Linked DNA regions of Callithrix jacchus. The protein of the gene in region 5 purifies or fractionates together with the protein of the main gene of each other region. This does not show direct contact. Links are inferred from orthologs where the notes say so. Each region holds a gene or a part of one and is shown on either strand. Other genes may lie near its edges.

Region 1 (4,438 bases), on a different chromosome or scaffold from region 5:
TCAGGCAATTCTCCTGCCTCAGCCTCCTGAGTAGCTGGGACTACAGGCATACGCCACCATGCCCAGCTAGTTTTTGTAGTTTTAGTAGAGACGGGGTTTCATCTTGCTGACTAGGATGGTCTCGATTTCTTGACCTCGTGATCCACCCGCCTCGGCCTCCCAAAGTGTTGGGATTACAGGCGTAAGCCACCGCGCCCGGCCCCAACTTTACATCTTTTGATTAACAAAAATTAAAGTTTATCTTTTTTTCCTCTTTTTTTTTTTTGAGACGCAGTCTCGCTCTGTCGCTCAGGCTGGAGTTTAGTAGTGCGATGTCAGCCCACTGCAACCTCCGCCTCCCGAGTTCAAGCGACTCTCCTGCCTCAGCCTCCTGAGTAGCTGGGACTACAGTACAGGCCCGCGCCACCACGCCCGGCTAATTTTTAAATTTTTTTATAGAGACGGAGTTTTGCTATTTTGCTCTGGTTGGTCTATAACAGGGACTATTTTATCCTAACAATGTGTTTCTAAACGATATTGGTGCCAAAATCAGGATTACCCGATGATATAGTTAACACAAGCTTATCGAACCAGAGGGTCTGGAGTGGGGAATCTGCCTAAGTTTACAGTCCCCATACTCGGTGATTCTCATGCAGCCAAATATTTGGGCGCCCCTGACCTAGCGTCACCAAGAACCAGAAGACCAGTAGCAATTTCGCGGACTTCCTGGCCCCGGGTTCCCTCTGTTCCATGCAGTTTCATGGAACTTTTCTACATTCCACTCCCCGCCCCCGCATTCCGCCCGGCGTTGATACGCTACGAACCTCTCGCTTTACCGCTGCCACTCGGTTTTTCTTCAAAAGAGGGCGGGGGAGAGTAGTCTGAATTGGGTTATGAGGCCCCCGTTCAGGGTACCTCACCTCAGCCATTGAACTCGCTTCGCTGGCCGTGAGTCTGTTCCAAGCTCCGGCAAAGGAGGCATCCGCCGGGTCCCACCCCGAAAGGCGGGGTCCGCGGCATCTCCTGCCCATTCTGACCCTCGCGCGGAGACCCGTTCTCTGGGAACTCACCTCCCCGAAGCTCAGGGAGAGCCCTGTTAGGGCCGCATTTGGCCCTAGTCTCAGACCTTCCCAAGGGACATAGAAATTGAGTGACAGGACGCACTCAGCTCGTGGCCCCACTGATGAGCTTCCCTCCGCCCTATGAGGAAAAGTAGTCCCACAGACAACTTATAAGACTCCCATACCCTAAGACATTTCACGATTATGGTGACTTCCCAGAAGACACAGCGACATGCAAATATTGCAGGTCGTGTTTCGCCTGTCCCTCACAGTCGTCTTCCTGCCAGGGCGCACGCGCGCTGGGTTTCCCGCCAACTGACGCTGGGCTCGCGATTCCTTGGAGCGGGTTGATGACGTCAGCGTTTGAATTCCATGGCTGCGCGACGGCGACGGAGCACCGGCGGCAGCAGGGCGAGAGGTTTGGAGCATATTAACGCCGAGAGGAATGCGGGGTGGGGAGTCAGAAAAGGAACAATGCCACCTACGGTGACACCCTTTCCCTTACAGCTCCCCATAACGTGTCTACCAAACCAGTTTGGGTGCTAAATTTTTGTTTTCGTACCTTTGGGGATTACATAATTGTGCATAAAGCTTTGCGGACCTGGAACAACTAATAGTGCCAGTAGTGTTGTTAATACCTAATGTCATCCAATTTACAAAAAGTAATTGCAGGGTACACCATGATTTTATACTCCACAAGAAAGGATAAGCACTGAAAATGGTGTACTATGATTCGCTACTTCTGTCGTCCATTGTAAGATGCATCCCAGTTCGAGAGAGTAAAATGCAAGTCTTAGACCTATTGAGATAGAGTATTATGTGTATAATGTTCTTAAATGCATAGGTTCACCCTATAAATTAGGTACTATTGTACTTCTCTAGAAATAGAATATTGTTGTACAGTATTCTAATATTGAAGCAAGTGAAGTAGGAAGAGATCAAATACTTGAAGCAGCAGAGCTAGGCTCTAAGTTAGGCACAAACCCTTGAGCACTTTACTAACCTTTATCCCATACCGCCCCATGTATGAGGTGGATATTTGGGGGACACTGGGACACAAGTAAACAAAACAGATAGGCAGGCCTCAGTCTATGAACTTACAAGACTCCTGGGGCTCCCTTTTATTTTGTTTTATTTCATTTGGCTAAAATAGCAATTTAGGAAGAATTCCACAGTCTGTTATACAAGAGTAGTGTTTCGACAGTTATTGCCTCTTTGTAAACTTAGAAAATTATCTTAAACCGGCAGGGTGTGGTGGTGCACGTCTGTAATCCCAGCACTTTGGGAGAACGAGGCAGGCAGATCACTTGAAGTCATGAGTTTGAGACCAGCCTGGCCAACATGGTGAAGCCCTGTCTCTACTAAAAATACAAAAATTAGCTGGGCATGGTGGTGCACACCTGTAATCCCAGCTACACGGGAGGCTGAGGCACAAGAATCACTTGAACCCAGGAGGCGGAGGTTGCAGTGAGCCGAAATCGCAGCACTGCACTCCAGCCTGGGTGACAGAGTGAGATTCTGCCTAAAAAAAAGAAAAAGAAAAGAAAATTATCCTAAACCATTTCTTTAAAATATTTTTTTCAGTCTCTTAAATCTACACATATTCAGGTGTACTCGTTCTTCTTTGCCCATTTCCAAATTCTGTAGCATTAAATGGAAACAAAAGAGTTAATGATGGCAATACAGCTCCAGAAGACTCTTCCCCTGCCAAGAAGACTCACAGATGCCAGAGACAGGGGTTGAAACAGATGCCTGTGGCTGGAGGAAAAGCTAACAAGGACAGGACAGAAGACAAGCAAGATGGTAGGCCAGGGAGGTCATGGTCAGCAAGAGGGTCTCTGATAGGGGTGGATGAGGGGATGATATCTTGTTATGTCAGCTCTTATTTCTTCCTTCTTTCCGGATATAATTAATTTATCTAGCCTTTGGGCATACCACAAAACTAATCTACTGCCTTGAATCTTCGTTTTCATGTATTTGAGGTGGATTGAGGCCTAAGGAAAGACCAGGATTGCGTGGGAGGGCAAAGTTAATCCTGACAAGTTTCTGTTTAGCCACAGCAGCTGTTTTTGCTTCCCATAAAGTAGTACCTCTATGTTTTTCCTCAGAATCTGTGAAGGCCTTGCTGTTAAAGGGCAAAGCTCCTGTGGACCCAGAATGTACAGCCAAAGTGGGTAAGGTAAGAGAATCTGGAACCAATCTTCAGGCCATGGGTGTCTCAGAGAGCATCCTTTGTTACAAGGACTCGTCTGGGATACTGTTAGTATTCATTTTAGGAATCCTCTCTAAAATATGATGAGTGATTAGTTTTCTCCAATGGCAAGGGATAGGAGTGGTAGGACTTGGGGTTAATAATCAGGGTGTTTTTTAACATGGTGTGTTAGACCATTCTTGCATTGCTATAAAGAAATACCTGAGACTGGGTATTTTATAAGAAAACAGATTTAATGGCTAATGGTTCTGGAGGCTGTATAGGAAGCACAAGGGTATCTGCTCCTCAGGAGGCCTTACGAAGCTTTTACTCATGGCAGAAGGTGAAGCAGGAATAGGCACTTCACATGGCGAAAGCAGGGGAGAGGGAGAGAGAGAAGGTGACAGAGACAGAGAGAGAGAGAGTGGAGGAGGTGTCACATGCTTTTAAACTATCAGATCTTGGGTGAACTCACTCATTATCAAGAGGACAGCAGTGAGAGAGTGGTGCTAAACCATTCAGAGAAATCCACTTCCATGATCCAATCACTTCCCACCAGGCTCCACCTCCAATACTGAGGATTACAAGTCATCATGAGATTTGGAAGGAGACAAATACACAAATTATATCACATGCTTACCTTTTGTGGTTGCCATCAGCCTTCTATACCTCATTCTCTTTTTCAACCAGAAAATGTCATTGTTAAGGGAAAACTGTTTTCTTGTTCTAATGAGAAACTGTACCCAATGGCATGAGTTACTGATGAATGGGGAAAGAATCTGAAATACAGAAAGGCTACCTCTACAGTAAGTTTTCTTTTTTTTTTTGAGACAGAATCTTACTATGTTGTCCAGACTGGAGTGCAGTGGCTCAATTTCGGCTCAGTGCAACCTCCGCCTCCTGGGTTCAAGTGATTCTCCTGCCTCAGCCTCCCAAGTAGCTGTGACTACAGGCGCGTGCCACCATGCCCAGCTAATTTTTTATTTTTAGTAGAGATGGGGTTTCACCATGTTGGCCAGGCTGGTCTCAAATTCCTGATCTCAGTTGATCCACCTGCCTTGGCCTCCCAAAGTGCTGTGATTACAGGGGTAAGCCACTGCACCCAGCCAAGTTTTCTTTAACTCAGAATTTTTTTTTTTTTTTTGAGATGGAGTCTCAACCACGCTAGAGTACAGTGGTGTGATCTCAGCTTACTGCAACCTCCACT
Region 2 (4,523 bases), on a different chromosome or scaffold from region 5:
GGCTGAAGCGAGAAAATCACTTGAGTCTGGGAGGCAGAGGTTGCAGGGAGGCCAATCAGGCCATTGCACTCCAGCCTGGGTGACAAAATGAGACTCAGTATCAAAAAAAAAAAAAAAAAACGGTCGGCTGCAGTGACTTGCGCCTGTAATCCCAGCACTTTGGGAGGCCAAGGCAGGCAGATCACAAGGTCAGGCGTTCGAGACCAGTCTGACCAACATGGTGAAACCCTGTCTCTACTAAAAATACAAAAATTAGCTGGGTGAGGCAGCAGGTGCTGGTAATCCTAGCTACCTGGGAGGCTGAGACAGGAGAATCGCTTAAACCTGGGAGGCAGAAATTGCAGTGAGCCAAGACTGCACTACTGCACTCCAGTCTGGGCAACAGAGCAAGACTCCGCCTCAACTACAACAACAACAACAGAAACATCCAATTCACTTAAGTGGAAAAGAAAATCATAGCTGTCTGAGAATTCCATGCTATGCAGCATTAGGATATGGAGAGAAACTACATATGACGACGATTTTAAATTCAGCCAAACTGTCGTTAACTCCTTCATAACTTTTATATTATGAAACTATCATTCATAACATGCCACAATTAAGGAAGATACAAAAACTTAGGAACTATTGTTTCTTCCTAAGGAATCTCCTAGACAATACATTTCAGACAATCAAAAAACAATTCAAAAAGTTCCAATGTAAAGAAAATACAGGAGAAAAACAAATCAAGAACATGAAATTCTTTCCCAAGGAATCTCCTTCTGAACATGTTTCAGACACCTTCACAAAAAAAAAAAAAAAAAAGATTTGAGAAGCTTGAACTTAAGAAACATATGGAAGAATGAAAATAAAATCCAGAAGATTCCACAAAACAGATCTCCTTTTTGCAACAAATCTATGACATGCCAAGGCACTGGGGTGTGAGGGCAGGGTGCCCATAATAATCAAACATAACGCACTGTGGCAGAGCATGGTGGCTCACTCCTGTAATCCCAACATTCTGGGAGGCTGAGGCGGGAGGATCACTTGAGGTATTTGTTATTTCTTGGTTACAAATATTTCATTTACTTAAAGTAAAATAAAGATTAACCATACATATCACCTGCTAATTAATTCTCTTATCTTAATGCCACAAATATAATCAAAATTTAACTTAGTTATCTACTATTATACTCACTACTCCTGTGTAATAACGTAGTCCAACCACGTGACCTCTCAAACTTCCAAATAAAACTGAATCTAGTTCTTCATCACTAGTTAGAAAGTCATCTGGAGGGATAACATCTTGGAATTCAAAACGTGGAAAGAAAGTTGGATATGAGAGGCGTGGAAAATTTCCATGAACTTTATATTGGACAGTCTGCAAGTACTTCCAAACAGGATCCCTATTTAAAAAAAAAAAAGAGCAAAGAAAAACAATATAATATTCAAGTATTTCCAAAGACCATATGAGTTTTCCCGTGCTTAACTTCAGCAAATGAAATCTTACATGAGAATCACACTAAAGATTTATAGTTACTCTGGTTAAAGCAGAAATTGCAGTGAGTGGAGAAGGATTCCAGAAACTCCACCAGATCAGTATTGGCTCTTCTACCTGCTCCCCAGGTATTCAAAATGAAAAGCCCAGTCAGAGTTCACAAACCTCTTTCATAGTGAAAACCGTCTAAATTGAAATGTATATGATGTTAGTAACTACAATTAAGAGTCCGGCGTGGTGACTCACGCATGTAATCCCAGCACTTTGGAAGGCCAAGGCGGGATGATCACCTAAGGTCAAGAGTTTGAGACCAGCCCGGCCAACATGGTAAAACCCCTTCTCTACTAAAAACGTCAGAATTAGCCAGGTGTGGTAGCGCACATCTGTAATTCCAGCTACTCAGGAGGTTGAGGCAGGAGAATCTCTTGAACCCGGGAGGCTGAACCCGGAAGGCGAAGGTTGCAGCGAGCTGAGACTGTGCCACTGCTCTCCAGCCTGAGTGAGAGCGCGAGACTCCGTCTCAAATAAAAAAATAAATAAAACTGTATGTCAACATTTCAATACTGATTGAGCTACAAAAGACTTACAAAAATACAACTATTATTATACATGAGGCTGTTTGCAACTTTCCAGAAAATACATCCAGCATCCATTACTGTAACTCCCTCTGAGCAGAACACTTACTTTATTCCTGCATCCAAATCACGCCACCGTGGGAAATTGGCCCCCCAGCCTTCCGTACCCAGCTCCCGTCGCTGGTTTAAGCCTACCCCCAAACCTGTTACCTGTAACTGTTTGGAAAACAGCCATGAAAACCAATTTGGACAATGAAAAATGAGGGGAAGTCTACTGGAGCATTCCAAGAAGTTTCCATTTTCCTAAGAACAGTCGCTTTTAATTGCGCTGCGTTTTCCTTGCAAGCGGTGCGCACCTCTATTAGCTCCTCTGCAAATACATATCTCAATGGCTTTGCATACACATAAGCTGTGAGCCACTTGGGGGCAAGGGCTGTCTTACTCGGCCCTCCACCGAGAGCAGTGCTTGGCGCACAGTGGGCATCTAATGGTTATTTTGTTGAATAAAGCACAGGCCGAGAGGCTTTGAGCCCCAGGCCCCCGACAGTCAGTGACAGAGATTTCCCAAGTTCCTAACACAAGACTCGCCCTAGGAGCCCCTACTCGCCAGCCAAGACAATGCATTTATTTCCCCCGAGGCCACATAGGCGACCCACAAAAGGAATACAGCCGCACAAATCGCCGGAGGAACGCGGGGAAGGTCAGGTTCATTTGGGGACGCCTCCAGGCGGTTAGCCCCATCTCCCCACCCCCTCCACCCTCTTCACCTCTTGAACGTCCAGGACATGGCGCTGAGGGAGATGACAAGAGGAGCGCCTCGGCTCCCCTGGATTGTTCTCGGGTCTCCTCGATACGCCTCCTTCCAGGCCCCGCAGCCCTGAAGCGCGGGACAAGTTCCGAGCTCCGGATCGAGAGCGCACGGCTGAAGGATAAATCTCCGCGAGTCCAGTCAGACGTCGACGCCGTCTCCTTCTAGCAACAATCTGAGAGACCAGCGTCGCTCTGTGACTGGCACTGAGAAAACCCAATAACGAAGAGGAAACTGCGGAGGCAAACCAATCAAGGCATAGAAGGGAGGGCAACTCCGCCCCGCTGCCATTCAAAGACGGCTGGGGGTCCCGGCTGCAAGGGCGGTTCCATCCGGGTTCTTCCCCGCCCCCAAGGCGGGCGCGCGGGAAAGCCACGCGGCCTCTGGAGTGTGACTGCGGTGCCTGCGGTGCCTGCGGTGCCGGCGTTTTGTTTGATTTCCCTGCCTCAAACCGAGAGAGATGACTTTCCTTTACCTCACAAGTCCTAAGACGTAACCCCATTTTTCAGGCTCTACTGTATCCTCCCTCTGATTTTCTCCTTATCTAATGTGACACGTAAAAGGGCCTTATACTAAAAGAACTTGGGAGACCTGGAACTACAGGCAAGATCCTTTCTTCATTCCCTGTGGTTAACCCTGGGGACTTTCGCTCCAAATTTTCATTTTAAGCCTCAGCTTATGTATGAGACACAACGAGATCGGAAAATCTTAAATGGGACTTAAGGGTCCCCTTCCCACCTCCTTTTGTTATTTTTAAGGAAATTTTTTCTTTCTTGGTGCAGGAAAGCCATCGCACGCTTATCACAGCTATGGGGGCGTTTGCTGGAAATGGACTCCGCGCCATTTCCCCCATGGTCACGTGGCTGCCCCCTCCAGACAGGGGACACGCTTATTTTCCTCACGGAACTGCAGAGAGGCACCCTGAGGCCCTTGTGGCCCGCTTTCCAGAATCTGAGGTGACTGGAGGGAGAATGCGGGCTTGGGATGGTCAGCCTTGGGCCAGCTGCAGCTGAGGCCTGGTAGGGCTGGTCCCTGCGCTTTGGGGGTGGAGAGGAGGCTGTTGCCCCAGAGGTTGACCTTTTAACCGCAGAGGGCAGGAGGTTGGTGGTGGCGCCAACCTGCATAGGCAGCGCCATGTAACTGCCAGAGAATACTTGCCAGTCACAGAGAGGTCCATGTTAGAGGCCGGTCAGCACAGTATATTAGGTGGTCAGCTTTTTTTTTTTTTAATTGAGGCGGAGTCTTTCTCTGTCACTCTGGCTGGAGTGCAAAGGTGCGATCTTGGCTCACTGCAAGCTCTGCCTCCCAGGGTCCAGCAATTCTGCTTCAGCCTCCTGAGTAGAGATTACAGGTGCACTCCACCACGCCCGGCTAAGTTTTGTATTTTAAGTAGAGACAGGGTTTTACCATGCTGGCCAGACTGGTCTTGAACTCCTGACTTAAGGTGATCCTCCAGTCTTGGCCTCCCAAAGTGCTGGAATTACAGGCATGAGCCAGGTGCCGGGCCGGTGGTCAGCTTTTCAAGAAGCATTTGTTCATTATCATAAATAAACTGTAATTATCTGTATTCATGAATCATGGATGAGCAAGAGAATTTGAAGCAATGTATTATTTAATTTCACCAAAGTTGATAAGGAAGATAGAGACAATGGCATTTCAAATT
Region 3 (4,541 bases), on a different chromosome or scaffold from region 5:
AGAGGGAGAGCTTGAGGCTTGAATCTGGGTCCCAAGACTAAAACTGTCAGCAACCTGTATCTATCACAGCTTAAAAGACAGGTTGGGTGCAGCAGCTCATGCCTGTATAATCCCAACATTCCGGGAGGCCAAGGAGGGTAGATCTACTTGAGGTCAGGAGTTTGAGACCAGCCTGGCCAACATGACGAAACCTGGTCTCTACTAAAAATACAAAAATTAGCCGGGCATGGTGGCACATGCCCGTAAATTCCAGCTACTCAGAAGGCTGAGGCAGGAGAATCACTTGAACCTGGGAAGTGGAGGCCATAGTTGACAGGTGTTAAACACTGACATCAACTGGGACAGATTAGAAGATGTTACAGTAACGAAGAAGTCCCTGATCTCAGTGGTTTAAAACAACGAAGCTGTATTAACTCATACTGTAATAATGCCATGTAGAACATTATCCTAAAACTGAGACCTTTTTTGTTTGTTTGTTTCCTTTTTGGGGTTTTTAGTTTTTGTTTTTGAGACAGTCTTACTCTGTCTCCCAAGCTGGAGTGAAGTGAAACCACCACAGCTCTATGCAGCATCAACGTCATGGGCTCAATCGATCCTCCCCACTCAGCCTCCCTAGTAGCTGGGACTACAGGCATGTGCCACCACACCCAGCTATTTTTTGTATTTTTTTGTAGAGACAGGGTTTCCCCATGTTACCCAGGCTGGTCTCAAACTCCTGGGTTCAAGTGATCCACCCACCTTGGCCTCCCAACATGAAAACTGAAACTTATACCAACAAGCATCCTTCTAAGGGTTTGTGGGATGGCCGCTTTGGCTGCAGTTTGGGAGGATTCAGGTCTCTTCCATGGAATTCCACAGTTTTCTGGGATCAGCAACAACCTGGCAAATGTTTTCATGGCAGATCATGGGAGTACAAAAGCCAAGTGCATTTAAGGCCCTTGCTGAAGTTAGGTGTGCTCAGATTCCATTAAGTAAATCATATGGTCAAACCCATCAATGGAGCAGGGAAATATATACCCCCCCTCCAGTGGGAGGGAGAGGAGTGGATATATGCTGAATGACTGCCCATTCACAAAGGTTAATTTATCCTCCTTCATGCTAGCACTATCCACAGAGTGTTCTGCTCCTCATAGTCATAAAGCACCCACTGAGCCAGGAACGATGGCAAATACATCATCCCAGCACTTGGGAGGCTGAAACAGGAGGATCGCTTGAGCCCAGGAGTTTGAGACCAGCCTGGAAACATGGTGGAAACACCATCTCTAAAAAAAATATAAAAGGACTAGCGAGGCATGGGTATACACCTGCAGTCCCAGCTGCTCAAGAGGCTGAGGCAAGAGAATCGGTTGAGCCCAGGAGGTGGAGGTTACGGTGAGCCAAGCCAAGATTGTGCCACTGCACTATAGCTGTGCAACAGTGTGAGACTCTGTCTCAATAAACAAATAAAAGATTGACTGTCAGACAAGTTGTATAACTTATTTGGGCCTCGGTTTCCTCATCTGTTAAACTGGGGATAATAACCGACCCTGTCTCATGGGGCTTTTTATATGGACTCAGTGAGCTAATCCAGAAGTGAGGTGTGTAGAGCAGTGACTGGCAGGTAACGCTGAATAATGTTCGCTCTCATTATTATTATTTTTTTATTTTATATTTTTATTTTTATTTATTATCTCCCTCCATTGCCCAGGCTGGAGTGCAGTTGTGCAATCTCAGCTCACTGTAGCCTCCATCTCTTGGGCTCAAGCAATCCTCTCACCTCAGACTCCCCAGTAGTTTGGATTACAGGTGTACATCCTCATGCTTGGCTCATTTATAAAATTTTTGTAGAGACGACATCTCAGTATATTGCTCATGCTGGTCTCAAACTCCTGGGCTCATGAGATCCTCCAGCTTCGGCCTCCCGAAGTGCTGGGATTACAGGTGTGAACCACCACAGTTGGCCTATTATTCTTTAAAAAAACAATTATTTATTTTAATAAAAGTAGAGACAGGGTCGTGATATGTTGCCCAGGCTGGTCTGGAACTCCTGAGCTCAAGTAATCCTCTCACCTCAGCCTCCGGAAGTGCTGGGATTACAGGCATGAGCCACCATACCTAGCTAGTTTCCCCTTCTTTGAAGTGGAGTTGATTGGCTTAGACGACCTTCCTGGACACCTTCCAGTCCTGAGCCCACTGGCTACAGGAAGCAGGGTACGTTGCAATAATTCATTTTGTTTCAGCTAAGGAAACTGGGACCCAGAAAGTAGAAGCCACCTGCCCAGACCACACACTGATTCCTGTGATCATCCTGGACCTAATCCTTGGGTCTCCTTCCCTCTCTGCTGAGGGGCACAGGGATTATGCTGCCCATTTTCCAGGTAAGGAGGCTGAGGCCCAGCAAAGAAAGTGACTCAACCCATTGCCAGTTGGCTCAGGAGCAGAATCCGGACCCCGCCCCCCCGGACTCCAGATTCCTAGTGAGGAGGAGGTGGGGTGGCAGGATCACCTGTAGGACCACAGAGATGGTCTTCTCGCCTGCCTTGGCTGCCCGCCATTTTCGGTAAGTGTCTGCCTTGAGAAGATTTTCTGCACAGTGGGTCTGGAAACAAGAATGGGAGAGGAGAATTAAGGCACAAAGATGACAGCTAGGCCTCCAGCTCTCAGATGATTCCTTTGAGTCCTCCCAAGGCCTCCGGATTTAAGCTCCCCGGTTAATCCGCCACACTCTGCCTGGAGTTTCCCCTATAACAATTTCCGTGGAAGTTCACCTACGGGCTCTCCAAGAAAGCTTCCCTGTTCCTCCTTTTCTCTCCGGAAGTTCCCTAGAGGCCAGAATGTCCCTGATTCAACATCTCTCCACAACTCACTTTTAGCCTCTTGGAAATCCCCCCACTGACTCTCCTTAGACTTCCAAGAAGGACCCCAAAAATTCTTTAAGGAGCTATCCTCATTAATTCCCTCACGTCTCCCAACCTGCCCCCACGCAGGTCCCTCACCGAGTCCTGGCTGCTGCAGGACACGACATGGCGGAGGCGGATCTCCGGCATGTCAATTTCGTGGGCTTCACTTGGCCACAGGGATGAGGTACGATCTGGGGTCCGAGGGGCGAGGAAGGCGGGAGGCGGTGGGGTGCACCCTGCGCGGGCTGAAGTGCGCAAGCGCGCGAGACTCGGGCCTTTCAAACCCCGGCGCGCCGGCGCTGGCGTCGACACTGCGCAAGCTCAGTCGCGCCTCTCCGGAGCGGGAAGTGCACTGCGTTCCTTAGCAACGAGCGTTTCCTGGAGCCCCGCCTTCCTCTGCCACACACCCCCGCTCTAGCCCCGCCTCCCGATGACGTCCACACCCTCCTTTCCGGGCGCCTAGCAACAGAAGCGACCTCTGGGATTGGTGTCTAGAAGAAATTCGCGATTCTCATTGGACGATGCAGTCACCGCCCATACTGGAGCCCAGAAAGCAAATCTTTTTGCTGTATTATTATTATTACTTATTATTTTTTAAAATTTTTTGTTGAGACAGGGTCTTGATCTCTCACCCAGGATGGAGTGCAGTGGCAGGATCTCGGGTCCCTGCAACCTCTGTCTCCTGGGCTCTAGAGATCCTCCCACTTCAGCCTCCTAAACTGGGATTACAGGCATGCACCATCACATCCGGCTAATTTTTGTATTTTTTGTGAAGACGGGGGAGGGTTGAGGGGGCGGCGGGTCTTGCCATGATGCCCAGACTGGTCTCGAACTCCTGAGCTCAAGCGATCCGCCTGCCTTGGCCTCCCCAAGTGCTGGAACTACAGGCGTGAGCCACCGCGCTGGGCTAGGACAGCAAATCTGAGTGAATTTTCATAGTTTCGTAGGGAACCTGGATCCTACGCAACAGGATCTTCTCCAACAGCTCAGGCGGCTGCACTCTTCTCTCTGTCCCCCTGCCACACACACACACACACGAAAACATTTCAGAGCCGGGCGCGGTGGCTCACGCCTGTAATCCCAGCACTTTGGGAGGCCGAGGCGGTTGGATCACGAGGTCAAGAGATCGAGACCATCCTGGTCAACTTGGTGAAACCCCGTCTCTACTAAAAATACAAAAGATTAGCTGGGCATGGTGGCGAGTGCCTGTAATCCCAGCTACTCAGGAGGCTGAGGCAGGAGAATTGCCTGAACCCAGGAGGCGGAGGTTGCGGTGAGCCGAGATCGCGCCATTGCACTCCAGCCTGGGCAACAAGAGCGAAACTCCATCTCAAAAAAAAAAAAAAAAAGAAAAGAAAAGAAAAAGAAAACATTCTCAGATCTCTCTCAGCCTCATGCCTGAGGCCAAAAGAGAAGGATTCAGAGTCCTAAATAAAACACAAAGCATATGCCCAAACCCCCCCACACACACACACACATGGGCACACCCCATCCTAGAATGCTTCCACAAAAGCCTCAGTTTCCCAATATGTGGCCTGTAAGCATTTGTCTTTTACTATGCCCGCTATGGCTGCTGACAGGCATCCCTCTGTTCGTTCGGTCCCTTGGAGACCCAAGGATGCAGCCTTGGGTGAGGTTGCAGCTGGAGGCAGCCCAAACATA
Region 4 (3,942 bases), on a different chromosome or scaffold from region 5:
AAGGCAATTATGGGTCCTTTTCCAACTCTAACATACTTACGGCAGCTGTATGAGAACCAGTGAAATACAGTAAGACATGAAATTATTTCACTTGCACATTCCTAGACCCTGCTTTCTCTCTGGTGACTAGGAGGATTCAGCTATAAGCTGAACACATGGCTGCTGAACACTAACTGAATCTGGTCTTCTAATGCCCAAATCATGTCTCTGAGAAAGAGTCCTTCAATTTCCCGATGAGTTCAAATCAAACCCCACAGGTTAACAAAAATGAATGCTTACTGAGCCTTCATTATGTGTCAATTCAATGCAAGTTACTACAGGCAACTATAAAAGAAATGCTCAGTGTTGTCTCTGTCCTTGTGGAGCCAAACAACATAGCTGGAGTGACAGAGTTAACAAACACCAATTAACCAGACAGCAGATTAACGCAGCCCACTGCCAAGTGCTGGATTGGGATCCTAAGTGCTGTAGAAACTCAGGAAAGAAAAGAATGATTGTGGAAGGGATGGGGTGCGAGTGTCGTCACAGAGAAGGCAAAACCTGAAACAGCATTAAGAAAAAAAGAAAACTGGAATTGGCCTCAACAACTCAGTGAGTTCCTCAATAAAGTCGCAACAGTCATTAGCTCAGAGCAGCAAATGTGAACCTACCACCTACCTGGAATACAGGAATGCTAGTAGCTTATCCAGCAGGTGAAGTTTCCCACTAGCCTCAATCAGGTGGTCTCCAACTTCAAAAGGCTCTGGCTCCACACCTAGAAAAGAAAGAACCCACTCCCAGTCATGTGCCCTCAGTAAGGGCAGAAGCCAATAGTTAGGCTACAGGAAGAGAAGCCAAGCTCCTCTTATAAGTAGTTGTTTGCATGATGATCTCAGTTCTGCTTAACACCAGTTAGAGTCTGGCATATCTAACAAGCCTAATAAACGTCTATCTAAGGAATAAAACCACTCTTCAGAAAACTGACGCAGAAGAGGATGCTAAAGGTCAAGGAGACCTAAAACTGAAATCCTGAGACTCACTCTACAAAATAAATCAAAATGGCAGTCAGAATAACCTGGAGGGCTTCTTTCAAAACCTACGTGTTCCCACTGCCCCCTCCTCTTAAAAAAGTTCTCATATGTGCCTACTTAAGATTTTGTACTATCTTTAAATAGTTTGTAGCACCGCTCGGCAGAGATCCCCTTAAAGTAACTGCAGCAAACCCTCTGTACTGATCATGCGTAGAGTATCCACGGCCACAGGAGTGCTTGCTCCAAGGGCTAACAATCGGGGAATCAAAAAAGCCCCAGTCTGAAGAAAAACAAAAACACTACACATCAAAATCCCTAGGACGCAGCTACAACAGTGCTCAGGGGAAATTTACAGAGGTCTGCATGATGAGGGGAAGCAGCGAAGGAGACTGAGAAGAAGCAGATGGAGAAGAGAAAGTATATCCCAGAAGCCGAGGGAGGAAGGGCTTCAAGAAAGAAGTGATCAGCTGTGCTCAAGGCTTCTGAGAGGGTAACTGAAACATGAACTAACAAATAACCACCAGCTGGGCAACAGGGCGATCACTGGCAGACCTGGAACAGTGGTGACGAAAGGCTGAGTGGGTTCAAGACAATGGGAAATCGAATCACGAAGAAATGATCAAATCCATCCAAATTATCATGCATTTCATAGAACTATCGGTCTTGACTCTTCATGCATGAAAGAAAAAAAGGGCAAAAAAAAACACTCTGAAAAATGTTTGTAGGTTTTATAGGAAAATAAAAAGACATGACAAATGCAGTGCAGGATCTGCAGGGTCTAGGACTGATCATGGATTTAACAACAAAAAAAACATAGTTAGAAGGGATGGATATTAGATGGACAACTGAGGATATTTGAAAATGAACAATATATGACTTAACACTAATACAGAAAACTGAGAATAAACAAAGTAGACACAGTAAGTATATGCAATTATTCTGAAGAATTTTGGTATGATTCGGCCACAGAAATGTTAACAAAGAATAATGTGGAGGAAAGGGCACTGCCTCACCATCAAACAAGTATGGGTGATCCACACACTTTCGAAGCTGGGACAAGATGTTCTGAAGTTTAACTTTCTTTCCTGTCTCATTTTCAAATGCATCTGAAATTTAAAAAAAAGGGGGGGGGAGAGAAAGAGAGAGATGGCCTACTGAACAAAACAAAAACCAAAACCCTGAGTTTCTAGAAATAACCGTAATCATTTCAATTATATCCTTCGAACCTACGTTAACCTCCCAAATTTCACTGAATTGAACTGAGAATTAACATCATGTTCGTATAAAATTTCCCTAACCATTTTGTTTTAGGAAAGACCCCTCAAGTATAAATTGAACTCAGGAGTACTCTGTTACTCTTCTGCAAATTCTAAATTTTCTTTAACTGTTGTTGTGGAGTCAAGGGACAAAGAAATGCAAACTGAGAAATTATTTCACCCCTCTCTCTCCCTTGCCACTCCCAATTCCTCCCAGTGAATTTGATTCAACAAAAAAGTTTTGCATTCTCTTAAACACAGCAGTTCTCCCTTATCCATGGGGAATATGTTCTAAGACCCCCAGTGGATACTAGAAACACAGATAGTACCAAACCCTATATGCATTCTGTGTTTTCTCCTATATACCTATGATAAAGTTTGATTTGGCAAAGTAAAAGATTAACAATGACTCATAATAAAAATACAACAATTATAACAATATACTGTTCACAATGTCACAGAAGATTTGTTGTTAGCAATCTCGGTATAGAATTTTTTTTTCATTTTTTTGAGAACTTAAACCTTTTTTGCTTAAAAGAAGCACTCTATGGCTTCTTTGGCATAGTCAAAATGCAGGCATCACTACTCTTGTGCTTTGGGGCCATTTTTAGGTAAAATAAAGGTCACCTGAACAAAAGCACTACGATACCACGACTATCGGACTGATGACAGAGCAGCCACTAATGCGGACGGCGTGGATAACAGAACAAAAGGAGGATTCATGTCCTGGGTGGAACGGAGTGAGATTTCATCACGCTACTAACAATAGAGTTTAATTTAAAATTCACGAATTATTTTTGGAATCTTCCATTTAATATTTTCAGACTCTAGTTCAGTGCAGGTAACTGAAACCTTGGAGAGCAAAACTGCAGATGAGGGTGGACTACCATATCTGACGGGGGGGAGGATGAAAGGCATGACTAGGACACTTAGAAGTGTTTGCTTAATTACAGGCAGTAAGAAAAACTGAGTGAGGGGAGAAAAGGAAATTTCACAACTGCACCAACCAAGGCTGAGTTACATTTAAGAAGCTCCACCACAGTCCCGTGGTAGCTGACCGGAATTATTCGCAATACAAAATTCCACCTCATATTCTTGGGATCATACAAATAAGTGTGATTATAAAATATTTTACTACATGAAATCACATCCTCATTTAGTTTCTAAATGAACAGGTGCCCTCTGATTACCTAGGTCTTTCATCAAAATGGCCTTGTAGTATTTCTTCTGCAATGCTGACATGCCGTGGTATATCACTACTTCTGTCTTCCTGGGCAGCTCTGTAGCTACCTCAGCTTTCACTCGCCTCAGCAGAAATGGCTGCAAGAGTTTGTGCAGCTCACTAGCTATATAATAAAAAAAAATACAAGAAGCAAGGGACAAAAGTAGAACCAAGGCAATGAACTACTAGAGAACTTAAAGGAATTTCTTTTTGCTTCTCATTTCACGCTTATTCTGCACTTGGCCAGATGGTCATTTTTCACAGCACTTCTTCCTTCACTAGGATCTTCTTCCCAATTATTTCTGGAATCATTACTGGTTCTTAACCCAAGAACTAGGAACACCCAAACAACTTGATTCTTACTAATCTCATATCAACAAAGCTCTTTTGTTTCTAGAGCATTTTTGTATTTAATCTCATTGCTCAGCATAACAGCTTAGAAATTTCAGGTGAG
Region 5 (4,373 bases):
TGTATTTTTCTAATTATTAACAGCTAATGCTTAATGAAATTTTTGCCATTTCTTCAAAATACACAAAACAGGAAATGTTCTACATGAAAGCACTCAGTGACAGAAAGAAAATATATTTGAAATATTCCAACTTTTGCTATACAACTCAAAATATATATATACACACACATAAAAGGAGTAGATAAATCAGGTGTGAGTTAGCAGATACATCTTAGTATTTTTTATGAACGACTCCCAAATTGAGAGATGTAACTAAATGCCCTAATATTTCCATTTTTAGCCCTCATCATCACCTGCTAAAAATGAGCTAAGAAAAAGCATAGGTCATACTCGAAAACTTCAACAAAACTCACTGCAACTAAATGGGGTCTGATACTTTAAAGAATATTTCCCTTTAAAAACGTTACTATGTGGCAATCTACTTATTGACCTCACAATCTTTATACTAGCGCTTTAAACCCTTCAATTTTTCTCAAAACAACAACAAAAAAGTGGGCTTTGCATTTTATTTCAAAACATGAGATATAAAAGTGAACAAATCTTTTAATAATATCAAACACAGATGTTTCTTAGCCAGCAACCATTTCATAAATAAGAAAGGCTCTTTGGCAAATTATCTGTGTGACTTTGGTCAAGTCATAACCCCCAGTGTTTTGTTATCTCGTCCTACTTTATATTTTACGTTCTAAATGCTTTAATTAGCAGTCAGTTAACAACCATTTTGGATTTAAATTAACCCAAAAGGTAATAAGCCATGAAAACTAAAGATAGTTCATAAGTAAGCACAGGTGGTTGTAGCCAAGTGTTAAATAAATTGGTTTCTATACCCAAAAAGATTGTTCCCGATCCAGCCTGTTGTTTTCACAAATTGAGACTCCTCAGGCACAAGGGAACCAGGTAAGAGAATGGAAAAGGCTCAGTACCTTTTATTACTAACACCGAAGAAAAATACACATTCGAATTCCCAACTGACAGTGCTGTTAGACGTTTCATGCTAGTATATGGCTAGCACATAAAATAATATTCTTTAAACAGATAGATATTGTGAAAACAGAAAATTTAATATCCTTTTCTTCTAACTCAAAATATCGTTTTGGATCCTTTTAAAAAAAAATGTCTGTTCCTTTCTTCTGACAATGTAAGTTGGTGGAGACTGAAACAAAACACTTTGCAAGTGGACATCGCCTTTACAAAACAGTTAATTGTTTTTTCTTCCTCTTGTCTAAAGACCAGCTATTTGGACAAAGTTTTCCTGATGATTATAATTCTACCAAGTTCTGAACAACCATCGAAGAAAAGAAAAACTAAATGTATTTCCATTCTGCCCACAGCATACACTGGCCCATTTGAGACACAAATTGTAAATGAAAGATTGGGCTGAACAACATCCTCCACTTTAAAATATACAAGGCACCAAAACAAACACATCCAAAATCTATTTTTAGAGTGGCATTCACTCTTCCAGTTTTCTCTTTAAAATGAGATTTACTTGACCTATTTTCATGTGTTTTTAGGGCACCAAGACAGTCCACAAAAACAGTATTTGCTAGTCATAAAACAGCAAAGGCACAATCACAAATCCTGTTATTTGTGTGGGATATTTTCTTCATGTGTCCTTACGTGCCATGTCTTAAAAGTCTAAATATAGATTCACTGACTAAAATGTCCTAAGTCTTCCAGATTTATAATTATATACTGCATTGAATGCCAATATTATACGTTCACATCCCATTTGAAAAGTACACACACGGGGTGGGGGTGATGTGCCCAGCACCTGAAATGTCAATCATACAAAGAACAAAGCGTTCCCCATCATCTTTTGGCTTTCTTCTCTCCTCAGTTGTACATTGTTTCAATATTACAAAAATATCACTTAAAATGTTCAAAACTTGAGAAATAAGTGCTCACTAAAACGGCACTTAAATTAAAACGTATACCAAAATGATGAACGAGAAAAGATTCTTGTTGCCAGGATGTGTGTGTAAACTTACAGTCCTGTGGAGAGGACGGTTCCCTCTCCACATTCTTAAAAATAATTTTACATTCTTTAGAAGCCTTTGAAAAATAAATAGCGACAACAATGGAAGACCCGCACTCCTTCAGACTGGATGGAGGGTAGGAAGAGAACTCCCCACCCAACAACCAGAACAAAGCAACAGCCTCGGCTTTTAAGATGTACAGAGGGTCTGGAGGCTCAAGGGACATTCTGAGACCTCTTAATTGTTCCGATGCTTTAACAGCCGTCAAAACAGCTAAGAATATGCAATGCGGGGCTTCACTAGGACAAGGTGCAGGAATGCTCTCTTCGTATTAGGCAAGACCGAGACACTGAGCAGGAGGAGAAAAAGGAGGAAGAGAAAGAGCAGAGAAAGCAGCAGCCAGAGACACTCCGGGAAAAGACAAAATGCAGACTGTACGCCCTGGCTTCGATCTGACCCAAGGCCCAAAGTGTCTGACCCCACACGGGAAACAGGGAGCAGGCTACTGCCAAAAAACCATCGCCGCCCCTACACCTCGAGGCCAGAAGGTCCCCGCGTAGAGGCCTGACACCACGGCCCAGGGGGAGGAGAGGGACCCGCCTGCTACCCGAGGCACCGACGCGGGCTCCGGCGGAAGAGGCTGCGCAGTAATGGCCGCTGCTCCGCCCCTCGCACCCCGACCGAGACCAGCTCAGGCCGTCACCCAGGGCAGGGTCTGCGGCGCCCTCGGGCAGCACAGGGGCTGTCACGGCCGTCTAGCCTGCGACCGCAGCCAAGGCTGGGGTGGCGGAAAAGGCTGAGCTGTCCCATCCCGCCTCTGCGCGGGCAGCCGCGGCCGCGCCAGCCCAAGGGCGTCCATCTACGTACCGGCCCCTGACCCCGCCGCCGCCCCTCTCAGGCCCCGAGCGCAAGGCCGACCCGGAGTACGTCGCGGCTGAAGGTGACACCGCGAGCTATGCTTCCTCTCCCCCAGTGAGGGTCCTGGAGTGGCCGGAGTTCTCCCTGCTCCCCCGACAGGGCCTCGCTCCGACTGCCACCTCTCTGGCCACAGCAGCGGACACCTCGCAGTCTTTTTCTCTCCGGCCTCTGAGCCCGCAGCGGCCGGGGACGCGCGCGGCCCTCACGTGACCACCCGGCGCGTCGCGGGGGCGGGGCCGCGCGGGGCGGAAGCCGCGCCGCGCACCCGCGGGCTCGCTCCGGCGTCTCTTCGTTCCGTCCCGGTTTCGCGCCGCTGCCTGCCTGCACTCTCCTGCCTGTGGGGATCCGCGACTTCGCTGCTTGGATCCTTCTGGCTGCTTTAGAGTGTACTTTGTTTGTATTAGGGGCCAGAGGCTCTGAAAGAATGCAGCTCCAGCAAGCAGATTTGGGGTGGAGGAAGTAAAACGCGTGTAGGAACTGCAGGTGGTGCTGCGCAGAAATCCAGTTTTGCGATCCGGGAGAAGCCCTGGGGTGCCTAGCCGAGTTTCGGCTTGAAGATCCCCTGGCAAAAGAACTGCTTTTCCCTTTCAAGAAATAAAAAAGGGTGGTGGGGGGCGGACCGAGGGGGTAGAGTATTCTAGGGCTTTCTAATTTATTCACCTTTTTAATGGTTGAGCAATTTAATCGGGAAAAGCATGGATATTACTTTCCCTTTGAACCCCTCCTTTTTTTAAAAAAAAAAAACAGAATAGTGCTTGAAAAACTGGAGAAAGAAATTAATCTGCATGAGAATCTAAAATTAAAGAGGTTATTTTGATCGCAAGCCTGTGGTTTAAAACATCAGAACTCTAGCAGTATTCACCATTTTCGCATGTACATTTCCTTTTTCAGAACTGATTAAATTTTCCTAATTTGTAGGAAAATGAAGAGGGTGGAAGAGCAGGCCTTTTATCTTTAAAAGCGTATGTATTTCAAAATTTTATGACAGTGTCTTATTTGCAATAGTGTTGCGTTTTGGGATTTCATTAAATGTTTCATTCAGGATGGGAAGTTTTCAGCGACCTTATATGTATAGAAATTTATATGTTTTCTGTTATTCCTCTGAATCAGTTTATTTCAGGGTTCTCATTCTCATATCTCAATATGTAAACCAGTCTCTTGAAAGGTGCCATCTAGTTCAGTGATGCTTGCTCATGTATGCAAAACTGCTTTTCTTACAAGTTCTGTACATATAGAAATATTGAAGTGTATGTCCTTTAAGCTTAGTTTTCTATCTTCATCTTCTTATTAGCCACTCAGTTTTATCCCTCTATCCTACACAGCCCATGAACACAGAATAGCTAAAATTTGATAATGTACCCAAAGATTCCAACTTGAAGAAATAATGCTATTATTAATTAGCTATGTGCCAGGTGTTGTGCTTTATTTATATATACCCATTTAATTCTCCTAATAAACTATGAGGTAGGCACTATT

The links.
Region 1: the proteins of RNF146 (region 5) and PARP2 purify together in Homo sapiens (affinity purification with mass spectrometry; 4 studies listed by BioGRID and IntAct, counting the BioPlex papers as one, with this or other methods). This does not show direct contact. The link is inferred for Callithrix jacchus from reciprocal best matches to the Homo sapiens genes RNF146 and PARP2.
Region 2: the proteins of RNF146 (region 5) and HLTF purify together in Homo sapiens (affinity purification with mass spectrometry; 4 studies listed by BioGRID and IntAct, with this or other methods). This does not show direct contact. The link is inferred for Callithrix jacchus from reciprocal best matches to the Homo sapiens genes RNF146 and HLTF.
Region 3: the proteins of RNF146 (region 5) and XRCC1 purify together in Homo sapiens (co-immunoprecipitation; 3 studies listed by BioGRID and IntAct, with this or other methods). This does not show direct contact. The link is inferred for Callithrix jacchus from reciprocal best matches to the Homo sapiens genes RNF146 and XRCC1.
Region 4: the proteins of RNF146 (region 5) and CHD1L purify together in Homo sapiens (co-immunoprecipitation; 3 studies listed by BioGRID and IntAct, counting the BioPlex papers as one, with this or other methods). This does not show direct contact. The link is inferred for Callithrix jacchus from reciprocal best matches to the Homo sapiens genes RNF146 and CHD1L.

What each region holds. Positions count from the first base shown.
Region 1 is NC_133509.1:55,070,485-55,074,922, forward strand, and holds the start of PARP2 (poly [ADP-ribose] polymerase 2), read left to right. Parts: upstream 1-1,405; 5' UTR 1,406-1,412; coding exon 1,413-1,458; exon of another isoform or gene 1,459-1,485; coding exon of another isoform or gene 1,486-1,492; intron 1,493-2,687; coding exon 2,688-2,843; intron 2,844-3,148; coding exon 3,149-3,219; intron 3,220-4,438. UniProt on the Homo sapiens protein: Poly-ADP-ribosyltransferase that mediates poly-ADP-ribosylation of proteins and plays a key role in DNA repair.
Region 2 is NC_133518.1:36,169,094-36,173,616, reverse strand, and holds the start of HLTF (helicase-like transcription factor), read right to left. Parts: upstream 3,046-4,523; 5' UTR 2,840-3,045; coding exon 2,820-2,839; intron 1,386-2,819; coding exon 1,178-1,385; intron 1-1,177. UniProt on the Homo sapiens protein: Has both helicase and E3 ubiquitin ligase activities. Possesses intrinsic ATP-dependent nucleosome-remodeling activity; This activity may be required for transcriptional activation or repression of specific target promoters.
Region 3 is NC_133523.1:38,064,144-38,068,684, forward strand, and holds the start of XRCC1 (DNA repair protein XRCC1), read right to left. Parts: upstream 3,144-4,541; 5' UTR 3,027-3,143; coding exon 2,976-3,026; intron 2,579-2,975; coding exon 2,486-2,578; intron 1,950-2,485; exon of another isoform or gene 1,757-1,949; intron 1-1,756. UniProt on the Homo sapiens protein: Scaffold protein involved in DNA single-strand break repair by mediating the assembly of DNA break repair protein complexes. Negatively regulates ADP-ribosyltransferase activity of PARP1 during base-excision repair in order to prevent excessive PARP1 activity.
Region 4 is NC_133519.1:7,379,534-7,383,475, reverse strand, and holds part of CHD1L (chromodomain-helicase-DNA-binding protein 1-like), read right to left. Parts: intron 3,613-3,942; coding exon 3,457-3,612; intron 2,117-3,456; coding exon 2,024-2,116; intron 755-2,023; coding exon 658-754; intron 1-657. UniProt on the Homo sapiens protein: ATP-dependent chromatin remodeler that mediates chromatin-remodeling following DNA damage.
Region 5 is NC_133505.1:133,838,807-133,843,179, reverse strand, and holds the start of RNF146 (E3 ubiquitin-protein ligase RNF146), read right to left. Parts: upstream 3,079-4,373; 5' UTR 2,847-3,078; intron 1-2,846. UniProt on the Homo sapiens protein: E3 ubiquitin-protein ligase that specifically binds poly-ADP-ribosylated (PARsylated) proteins and mediates their ubiquitination and subsequent degradation. May regulate many important biological processes, such as cell survival and DNA damage response.